3 linked regions of the Oryzias latipes genome follow. The protein of the gene in region 3 purifies or fractionates together with the protein of the main gene of each other region. This does not show direct contact. Links are inferred from orthologs where the notes say so. Each region holds a gene or a part of one and is shown on either strand. Other genes may lie near its edges.

The links.
Region 1: the proteins of cAMP-dependent protein kinase catalytic subunit beta (region 3) and akap7 purify together in Homo sapiens (affinity purification with mass spectrometry; 4 studies listed by BioGRID and IntAct, counting the BioPlex papers as one, with this or other methods). This does not show direct contact. The link is inferred for Oryzias latipes from reciprocal best matches to the Homo sapiens genes PRKACB and AKAP7.
Region 2: the proteins of cAMP-dependent protein kinase catalytic subunit beta (region 3) and vapa purify together in Homo sapiens (affinity purification with mass spectrometry; 4 studies listed by BioGRID and IntAct, counting the BioPlex papers as one, with this or other methods). This does not show direct contact. The link is inferred for Oryzias latipes from reciprocal best matches to the Homo sapiens genes PRKACB and VAPA.

Annotation. Positions count from the first base shown.
Region 1 is NC_019882.2:15,864,156-15,867,908, reverse strand, and holds the start of akap7 (A-kinase anchoring protein 7), read right to left. Parts: upstream 2,284-3,753; 5' UTR 1,862-2,283; coding exon 1,688-1,861; intron 1,575-1,687; coding exon 1,364-1,574; intron 635-1,363; coding exon 476-634; intron 400-475; coding exon 251-399; intron 1-250. UniProt on the Homo sapiens protein: Probably targets cAMP-dependent protein kinase (PKA) to the cellular membrane or cytoskeletal structures.
Region 2 is NC_019875.2:4,825,184-4,828,899, reverse strand, and holds the start of vapa (vesicle-associated membrane protein-associated protein A), read right to left. Parts: upstream 2,877-3,716; 5' UTR 2,773-2,876; coding exon 2,715-2,772; intron 1-2,714. UniProt on the Homo sapiens protein: Endoplasmic reticulum (ER)-anchored protein that mediates the formation of contact sites between the ER and endosomes via interaction with FFAT motif-containing proteins such as STARD3 or WDR44.
Region 3 is NC_019875.2:26,776,970-26,780,722, forward strand, and holds the start of cAMP-dependent protein kinase catalytic subunit beta, read right to left. Parts: upstream 2,311-3,753; 5' UTR 2,067-2,310; coding exon 2,021-2,066; intron 1-2,020. UniProt on the Homo sapiens protein: Mediates cAMP-dependent signaling triggered by receptor binding to GPCRs.

The sequences.
Region 1 (3,753 bases), on a different chromosome or scaffold from region 3:
ACTCCTTAACCCATTCGCACCTGAATTTATTTCTAATTATATAAAAATATAATCTTCCATGTTCTTTCTGGTGATGTTAAATTTTAGAAGCAGTCGTGGATTTGTAGGCAAGTTCTAAATGAGCAACAGACGACTTAAAGGGGTTAATAAAGGAGGATGTACATGTCAGATAAATTAAATAATAAACTCATGTCCTCTAAAACCGGTTGTTTTTGGGTTGTTTTTAATAAGGCATTGGTGCAGCTTTTACCTGAGTATTAGTGATGGGGATGGAAAGGAAGTAGTTGGGTCGCTTGCTTTCTTCTCTTTTCTTCTTTTTACCGTCTCCGTCCTCCTCGCTGTCCACTCGGTCGCCCCTTTTTCTCTTTCTCTTTTTCTCTGCTGCCTCTGGGATAGGGACTCCACGGGAAAAAAGACAAAGATGCTAAAACCCCACTACCAATAGGTTATATTTAAATAGTAAAAGTGTACATACAGCCCAGTTCTTTCCATGTGGTGGGGCTGGTAAGTGCAAATGGAAGTTCTGACATCAAGTCAGCAGAAATATTAGAGGCCTTGAACTTTTTTCTAAATAGATTCTTCTTTTCCCTCCTCTTTTGACTCTTTGAGGGTTTCTTGCTTGATGCTGGAGGACCTTTAAAGAGCAAACAAAGACATCAGGTGGTAGAAAAGTATTTAAAGTCCCACTTCAATCATCTTTTGATCTATTTTCAAAGCGTTACCAGAGGTCTTTTAATTATGATCATGCCACTTTTAGCCTAAATCAAACAACCTGTGTGATTTTGGAGGACATAGTTTCTGCAGAGCAGCATTGGTTTACAGCCACTCACACCACCAACCTAACATTAGTGGTGCAACAAAAATGGCAAGCGACATTGGAGCTATCCAGCCAAACAGTTTATATCCAGATTCCAGCTCAGACGAGGAAAATAGAGACGTACATGGATCTATTTGTCTGTATGTGGATGCATCAGAATGGAGCTTGTGGCCCGTCGGAGTAGTATGTGTCAAAAACCTACAAGGTTTTTCTAACAGCATTTTTGTATCTGCTCCAGATTCACAATGATTAGAATAAAGAAAAACTTTAAAAAGCTATTTTAATCTTACTTTCTTTATACAGTATATGTCCTACATCAGAAAAATTCTGCAAGAACATGTTAAAAACACCCGAAATGCCATTTTCATCATAGTGGTTTTTTTTCCAAACTACCATTAAAAGTACAATGTAGGCACAAAAAATTGAAGTATTAAAATGCAAGATTGCTTAAAAACATCTCTTTGAAGCCTTTATCTTACCTATAGGCGATGCTGCTGACTGAAAAAAGAAAAGATTTTAGGATGACATAGTCTATAATCTACTTACCTGACAATTTGGAGACTTCATTGACAGCCATGCTCACTGTTTCCACCTGATCTGTGGTCATTTTGTGCTCCAGAGGCGCTCCAGGCTCAGGTCCATCCCGACTTTCTCCTCCATCTTCCTCATCTTCATCTAACCCTACTTCTATGGTTTCTCTTCCATAGATGGTGGCTGGCTTCATGTTGTGCAGGTAAAGACCAGTCTGTGCTCGAACCTTTAACAGAGAATGTAGATAGTTGGGTTACTAAAATACCATTTCATTCTGAAAAAGGAAACTGATTAAAAGGATAAAAAAAAAAAAAATAATCAGGCTGAACTTCGGATTACCTGATGTCGGAACGAGTGTACAGGAGGTTTTAAAGCTGTGACGTTTCCGCAGCAATACGTATACACAGAAAACTGCTTCTTATAATTATATGACAACTCTTTGAATGCATTTAGTAAATCGAGAGTTTTTGAGAACTGCAACGTGAGGTTAAATAAAACACGACCAGAGAACATGACACATTGACAACAGAGGTAACAAACATCTAGATCTACCTCAGAACAACAGAGCCAGAGTAAAGGTAATGTATACGTTTTACGAAAAGCAACATTAAAAAAATAATAATAAAGCTTGCAACTGTTGAATGAGTTAATGTGGAAGAAAGAGAATATCTGCTAACAAACTTACTGGATCATCATGTAAGTTACCTAGCTAACTGTGATGCTAACTTCTTGTACATCTGAACACAGACTGCCAATTAGCCAATAAAACTAAATAAATATTTTTAACATGCCTGTTAATGTGTGGGTGGCCTTTTGTCTACCCTGTAGGAACCATGCCGCCAAAAAACTGCACAATTCGATCAAATAGACGTTCAGTTTTAGCACATGCAGATGGAGGGCTACTAACCGGATGCGACCGTTTGTAAACACACGTGACTTCCGGCCAAGTTATTGTTTTTTAATTGACAAAATTCCGAATTAAAATCACACAGGTTTTTTCGTTTTTCCCGTATGGAAAATTGAAATCCAAAACACAAGGCAGTATACCATCTGACAAGTAGTAAACTAGAAAATATTAAAAACAAAATAGCCATATAACACCAAACTGAGAGTAGCAATAAAATAACAATTTATTAAAAGTAAATTAAAAGAAACAAATAAATTAATCCAGAGAAACCGATAAACAATTCAAAATTTTTATAGTTTTCTTATGTATTTTTTCTATGGATAAAAAAAAACATGAGATCGTTTTTTTAAATACAAAAAAGGTGGCATCTCTTTCAGAAACGACATTTATGAATAAAAATACAAATAAATGTTTTTTTAAACATTTATAAAAATAAACTGGATTATTTATTTTATTTTTTGTACAAACAAAGTGAATGTTATGGAATTAAGATTATGATTTGAATTAGGATTAAATTAGAATTACGATTCTGTTTTTTGTTGAAACTATATAAATCCTTCCAGAAAATTTCAACCACATTACAACAATGAAACAGGTGCTTTTGGGTTCTTCTGGTCTAATTTTCAAAGCAGCGTAAAAACTACGACTTCAAAGTAAAAAATAAAAAAAGTGTGAAGCAAAAATCCAACTTACATTATCTTGATGCTCTAAACCAGGGGTGTCAAACTCATTTTAACCGAGGGCCACATCAGCATAGTGTCTGTCTTCAAAGGGCCAGATATAACTTATACATGTAACTAAATGTAATGAAAAATAACTACCCCTTAATGTTAAATAACTCATTGTTTATTTATTATAACTTTTTGAAGTGACAATTACAGTTGCATAGAAACATGTGTTTGCTTGTTACTTTAGCATTAATCTTTTAAATTTGGTTCTGTCAGGTTAGGTTATATAGAGACAGTGTTTAAGTCCTAATGTATAGTTGCCACATCCGATATTTCAAGTCCAATTCCCCCTAGATATGAATAAATACACACCAATTTTTATTTTAAGAAATTAAAAACTTTTATGCTCTCGCGGGTAGAGCTGTGACATGTCGGATTTTTGATCACCACGGTGATGAACCACCAGGGGGCGCGGTGTCGCAATTAACCGCAGCCCCCCCCCCCCCCCCCCCCCCCCAAAAAAAACCCCCACACAAAATCCCCGGGTGGCCGCATGATAAATAAATACAATTATAAAGTAGTATTCTTTATTAACAAATAACAGTAACAACTAACTACTAACTATCTAACTCATGAACTAATTATATATGTGTTGTAGATTGACTGTGACTGTGTGAGCGCGCTGCGTCGTGTGTAGGACTGGGAGGAGGGAGCACGTGTGTTGTTGGGGGTGCGTGTTGATTCTTCTGCAGTCGACCGCTCTCTAGCTGCACGCGAGTTTCACCTGTGCTCTCTGACATCTTCTCAGAATATTATATATTACCCAGTAA
Region 2 (3,716 bases), about 22 Mb from region 3:
AACTAGATGGATTTATAGATTGCACAAGTGTTTTCTTACATCCCAGTCTCACTTGTTGCTACAACATTACCCTTTGTCTCGTTTGTGATACAACTAAAAAAAAAATTCCAAAAGTTATTCCTCTACTTTTGAGCTTCATATCTTTCCACAACAAAAGCACATTTCCTAGCCTTTTCTCCTTTCTACTATAAGTCACAGCAACAAACTACTGACAAACTACTGCACCTTGTTCACGCTTTCTTTACAGCATTAAACATCAGCACACCAAAACAGATTACATCAGGTTAACTATTAAAAAACTGCCCAGAAAACTTCTACTTAAAAAAAAGAAGAAGAAAAACTATAAAAGGGATTATTCACATTTTATTATTTATTTGTAAATGTCTTATTTTCAGTTCTTAGTCTGCATACTAAGTTAAAGAGGGTAGAAATAAATCTTATTATATAGAACCATAAAAATGTAACAGTTCAGAATTCTGACTGTGAATGCTGAAAGCATTAAAATGTGAAACTCTGGACAGAAGGAATTTCATAGTAAAATAATCAAAGAGGTGTCAAACTAAAGTTTCAATTATCATATGATCAAAAGTAAACAATTACAAATGTAATACGGATTTCAAACTCTGCAGAAAAGAGGAGTTCCTACATTACCCAGGATCCTCTGTTTATGAGGCCCTTTTATAGTGCTGTTGTGGGGGAGGGGGGCAGCAATCAAGCTCCATCTCTGAAAGTCTAACCCATGTGTGCTCATGATTGGCTACAGTGGTAAAATACATGTATATTGAAGGTTCTTATTACTACAGAGGCACATGTTGGCTCTGGCATGATCCATGCTCCCATCAGTCTAGGTGATTTCTGCAGGTGAGCAGACATCCACACTGAGAACCGAAGACGAACTCTATAACCTGTTCAGACTGACTGACTTCATGTCTGAGTGTTGCACCACCAGGACACTTTTTTTGTTTGCTGGCGTCTTTGATCGCACAGGCACGAGGATGCATAAACAAACTTGCATCTCCAGGGATATGCATTAAAATGTTGTTGTTATGAAGGGACGAGCCTTGTTAACTCTAAAACCTCCTGTAACTGTGAAATAAAGGATAAAAACTCACTGTACAATACTCCTTATCCATTTAACCCTTGTGCTATCCTAGGCACTTTAACGTTGGGAGTTGGGTCATCTAGACCCACCAGACAGTGCTCTGAACCTTTTTTCTTCAATGATTTGTGATCTTCACTGGTGTCCATGGATTACATGAAATCTTTCCACCTTTATCCACGGTAGGGAGAACACGTCAATGTAAGGTTGGGGTCATCTGGACCCCACATGATAGCACAAGGGATAATGCACACAATTTCTTTAGAGTAAATATCTTTCTGTGCTTCTAGAGTCCTCAGGTTGCCCAACAAAAATGTTGTTTGCCTGCAAGCTCAGCTTCCTATCAAAGTATGCATCTAATCAGTGTTTTTGGTTTAAGAGTGTAGATTTGATCTTCTATCATCACACCTCCTGTGTGATATACAATGACCACTCTAAGACACTCTTAAACCAAGTGTGCAACGTTGTGCTGCTAAAACAGATTCAAGCACATTTTTTTTGCTCTTTTTAAAGTTAGTCTTCTAAAAGCTGGTGAAGTTAGAGCCAGAGAAATTCAGTCATATAGCAGCAGACTGACAGGCATCGGCTTCAGCCAGCAAAAGAGAAGGCCATGCTTCCAGCACCGACAACACCAGAACTAATGCAAGAAAAGCAGAAAGGGGCCGAAAACCCAAAGAAAGCAATGATTTGAGTTAAACAGCCCCCTAAACAAGCTGTGGGCTTTCAGCACCTTAACCTGCATAGCAGAGAGAGAGTTTGCTGAGACTAGATCCTCCGAAAATAAAACCCTGTTAAAGCAACAGTTGGTCCGAATGAATATCGGTTTAAACAGGGATTAGAATCAAAACAAGCATTTTCCCCCACTCCAATGAATGCTAGCTCCAAGTTTGGCATTAGCAGACTAGCCTGGCGGCCGCTAGCCAACTCTTTCCTGCCATGTTTCATCCTTATCATTACCAGGAAGAGAATCATCATCAGGGCAGAGCCCTCTGCTCTCTGACCACCAAAGGAATGGAAAAGGACCAGCACCGGCCACTGCAGCTTCACAGTCTGACACGTTGAAGGTTGGAGCAGTTAGCCAAGTTTGTCATTCAGCTGCGAGTCACTGAACCTGTTCATCCACAACTGTCACCTTAAAGTCAGCCTGTTTTCATTTCCAAGTTAAGGCCACATCACCACCGACTCCTATGCAGCTGGGGAATGCAGGACCATCATGCCCCCCGGCCGGGAAAGAGCACGGCGCTGATCCGCCGCTCTACTCCACTATTACACCCAAGTTAACAACTGGACAGTCTTGGCAAACGTGCGGCGTGAGAAGTTCATGTCTGCGTCCATGCGCCACCACTAAACACAGACCAAACGTTTTCCAATGATCTGCCAGGCGCTTATTCAGCCGTGTGTTGGTCACGAACAGCAGGCCGCGTCCATGGACGCCACGCCGGCCACCCGCTTCACGAGAGTCCGAGGCTCCAGCGGCCCTCCGCTTCCTGGCTAATTTAAAATGGCGGTGAACGCTAGCTAGCCTGCTAGTACCCAAACATGTTTGACGGAAATCATTCCAGTCATTTCCACAGAGGGAAAATGTGACACTGGATGGTCTTTTCCCTCCACATACCTTTAAATTTGAGGTCGGAAGGCGGGTCGAGGATGAGAACCTGTTCCAACTTGGACATTTTAGCGCGGGTGGTGATGCACTTGGTGTGGGTACGCTGGAGGAGTATCTGACAAGTGGAAGTCCCGGATCCCCTGCCACTTCGGAGTCAACCGCGGACTGACTGACTTCTGCGAGCCGGAGGGCGAGCATGTGGCTACAAATAGTTGAGCGCGCGGGCACAAGCCTGAGCGGCTTCCTCGCGGCTCCGCAGCTGATCAGATTACAGCACAATCCAAGTATTTTCAGTTTCAAACTCGAATACTTAGCAGCACACACACACCATAAGAAAAAGTAAATGAGGATAAAATAAAGTTTAAAAAAAATTGAAAGTGTAAAAAAAGTTTTTTATGCCAAATGAAACAGAAATCCTTTAGCATGAAAATGTCTTTAATACTGATATTATTGTACAGTAAATTGATCTGTTCAAAGGCTTTAACAGAACAAAGTTAAACTTTTCAAGTGGATTATCATAATGACTAATACATCATTCTAGCATTATATCACTGTTTAAAGTATAAAGAATAATAAAGGCACTTTTGTGGAAATGAAGGCAAATACTTGTAGGAAATATTCCACCAAATTGAATATAAAAGATGGCATTTTCAAAAGTTTTACTATTTCTATCTCACAGGCATTACAGTACTTCATCTTCCAATTTACAGCAAGAAGTTTAATCCCAAATCATCCGTATAAAATCTCGATCAATATGTCTTCACCTCCAAATATTTCAAGGTTGGCTTCAACAGGTTTGTGCCACTTTTTATGTAAACAGATGCTAAATATAAGCACTCAAATAACATTTAATAGTATACAAGATATTAAGGCACAGCGGATGCTGGGAAATGTTTTTCTTCTCCTTAAAAAGGCTTCAAATTATTCTCAATGTCAATACATTTAATTTACTCCAAAATCATCTGAACAGAAGAGAAAGTGCCGTTCTCCGTTTTCCAATGGAGGAGTCGG
Region 3 (3,753 bases):
ACCGGGGGGTGACATCAGTGTAACAGAAAAACACACCAAAAAATATGTTCAGTGGTCCGCTTGGTCTTTTATTTTTAAGGAAAAGTGGGTCTGGGTTCTTCTGGGTTAAAAGAAAAAGTAAATTGTTTAATGAGTTTTGTTTACTTTTCCTGTCAAACCAGAAAAACACAGAAACACGGGTACTGTGAAAGGCCATCGGTGTCATGGCGGCACAAGTTAAACCTTGCTGTCCATCCGTGACTGCGCTGATGATCTAACTGTTGCAGCCACTGACCTTAGTGTACAGTAAACACCAGGCGCTGTAGGTTACCTGGTTGTTTGTCGGGAGCAGCTACGCTAGAAACAAATCTGCCAGTCAGGGCACCGTGTCATCTTAAAACAGGTTTAACAGTTAGCCGCCGCACAAGATACGGGGATCACAGGTGCGTTTAAAAGAAAAAGAGTCCCGATTCCATCACTAATCTGATCATCTCTGTCTCCGGAGAGGCTGCTGGTTGGATTCTTGGTTCAAGCATTTTAAGCAGAGTCACAGCAAAACCTTGATCTTTTATCAAAAATATGAAGAAGAAGAAAAAAATCTGTGAAAAAGAAGAGGTGCTTTCCATCGTATTCGTACGTTTGTGGTCATCAGAAAACACAATAAATCTCAACAACTTTCACGGTTTACGACCAGGTATGAGGAAACAGTTCTGATTTACTACTGTGGTGTTCAATGATGATCAGCTGCACACATCAGACTATATGAGCGTAAAGTAACACTGGCCCAGGTCCAGTTACGTCAAACCTTTCAAAGCTTGTAATACCCCCTTATCCTCTGACGAAGGTCCGATGACAAGCTGCTCCAGTCAATGACAAGCCGAGTGTGAGAAGTGAGCCCTGATGGACCTTCACCACGGCAAGATTAGAGAAGAGCTTCAACACAAACACAAGTGGGGGGGGGGTTCGATGGTGTTGGGTTTTTGTTTTTCTTCTTCTTAAGCGTGTGCACACATCTGCCACAAAGGCAGTAGTAAGCCCCCGTTTTATGAATGGAAAGAAGGGATTTGTCATTTCTTCACCATATTTGGTCATGGCGCTGTACAGAGGGAATGTTTTGTTTATGCGCCTAAGAATAAAACGTGGCACTGAAGCCAGAGGGGGGGGGGGGGGGGGGGGCAGTTGCTCACCGACTTCAAAGTGAACCGCAACGCCCGTTTACTCCAATTAGTCACGGCTCTTGGGCTTCATTTAAAGTTAAGTTTTACTGGAGATTCGAGATCCAAATTTCTGTTCAACAGCTGGCTCTGTGCTGATGATGATGATGATGATGGTGGCGGTGAGCCCGCAGCCAAAAGGCACAGCGAAAGCCACATCCCCCTGCTGTCAGGCAGAGACAGAAGCCCGGGATGACACAACGCGAAGGTGATGATGCCTTCAATGTAAACACGGCCAACCAAACGGCCTCAGGCCGGACACAGGAAATGACCGCACGCCGGGGCTAACGGTCTCGGCCCTAAATAGCTTCCAAGGGGGAACGAGGGGCCTTATGAGGGCTAATCCCCCCCCTTCAAAGCTAAAGTTAGCAAGCTAGCTCCTCTCCAGATTTCGTTACCGACTAGCAGCCAACACAAACTTTCAATTATAACATTTTGGGTATTCATTAAGATTCATATCTTTCGGGAGCGTCTTTTTTTAGCAGCGTGTTTTTTACTTCGTCTCTCTGCTTCTCTCTTCCCCACTCCCGGGATGCAAGACAGCAACACAGTCTCGGGGTTTCCAACAACTTACTAATTCTTTAAATACTGTGATTTCAATAATGTGCAAAAAAACAACAACATTTTTTTTCACGCCATGAGAAGGGACGGGTTCGCGCAGAGATGGCAGATAACGGAGGAATGAAGTCGGGTTAGCGGCCGGCCCTCACCGCCTCTACAGCGGTTTCCAGCAAACGAGCGCGTCGCCGCTGTAAAAAAAGTGTCACCGGCGTCTCTGATGGTGGATGCTAGCGGAACACGGCGGCCCGCTCCCGGCGCACACTCACCGCTCTCCAGCTCGTTGCCCTTCTTGGCTGTGGCGGCGTTCCCCATGGTGTGGAAGACACGGCGGCCGCTCCGACTTAGAGGAGGAGATGGCGGCGGCGACGGCGGTGCAGGCTAGCTAACCTCCCTTCCACTTGATGATTCGGAGGTCTTGGCGTTTCCTCCGGTGAAACGGACAAACCACTCTCGCTTTCTACTGGAAATGAGGGGAGGTGATGTCTGGAGTCCCTTCCGGCGGTCCCCGCGCGCGCCCTCTCCCGCTCCTCCTTCCCCGTGAACGGTTTCCGCTGCTGCTACTCGGCTGCTGCCTGCTCGGCTGGCATGGAGCTAGCGGTCACTGGTGTTTGTGTGACTAAGCTGCTCCCCGGCCCTCAGCTGCCTTCACGGTGGGCTCGGATTGGCTCCACGAGTCGGTGACAAGATGCTAATCCGGGCTTGCTTCCGCATTTTTAGACTCGTACTTTGCAGTTGCTTTACTTTTATTTGAGACATTTTATTAAGAATCCAACTTCAATCTGGAATTTCATACCAAATTACATTTTCTCCAAATTAGGTGGCATAAACTTTCTTTTATTCTGTAACTATAATGTACAAAAGATCCCAATTAAGCTTTCTTGCTTCCATAAACAAATGTTACTTTCCTTGTCACTTATTTACAAACACCATTGTTTTCCACATAGATACGACATATGGAACAATAAAGACATTACATATAGACCTAAATCTTTATTTTATCCATCATGGTTTAATCAAAACATCCTTTTGGTCCATCAGCTGTTTAATTCAAACGGATCTTTGATGTCACATGAAGAATTCTGCTTCAATTATTCCATCAAAATACCAAAAACTGAGTTTAACATTGTTTTGACAGCAATTCTTAAATCTATTACTATGTTATTCAAAAGCTCATCATTGCAGAGTCCAACTTTATTACCAATTGATTCAACTAAAATAGAAATAGGCCAAATTTGTTTTTCTTCTTCACGTAACACAAATCACCGTATACGCTCACTCTTCCAGAAGGATGTTGTTTCCATTCCCTACGTAGTTTCTTTTTGGAATAATTTAGTTTGTCATTTAGAATGGAAAAAGATCTGGAAAGCGAAATACTTTTTAACCAATAAAGTGAAAGAAATCTCATTCAAACTGATCCAAAAATTCTATCCATCCAAACTATATCTGCAAAGGTTCAAAGAAAATATTGATGTTGCCTGCTCTTTCTGTCAAGAACACCCTGAAGATGTTGTACATTTATTTTGGTCATGTCTCTTTTCCACCACTCTCTGGTCTAAAGTTTGTCATTTCATTTCCGCCCACATTGACCGTGACTTTCGCCTGTACTTAGAAAATGTTATGTTTGGCCTCACCCACTGTCCATCTCATAAAAAAGAACAATTGTACATCATTAACCTTTTGTTGTTTTTATGCAAATGGCACATTCATAAATCAAAAGTTACGAATCATACCCCTCATTTCTCAAACTTTATCAATGAGTTCAAACAATACATTAACACAATAAGAAACTCTGACAATTAGAAAGCCATCAAAACATTTGGTCTGTGTGTCAGTTCCAATATATCTGCGTAAAATGAAACAATAACCCCCTGGCTTGTTCTTTCGTTGTTGCTGTTTAACATTGTTTTGTATTGAATTGTTACATTCAATAAAGTTCGAAAAAAAACAAACAAAAAAAACCCCTTTTATTTGGTAAAAGGTCTTTAAATCATCGCAAAAT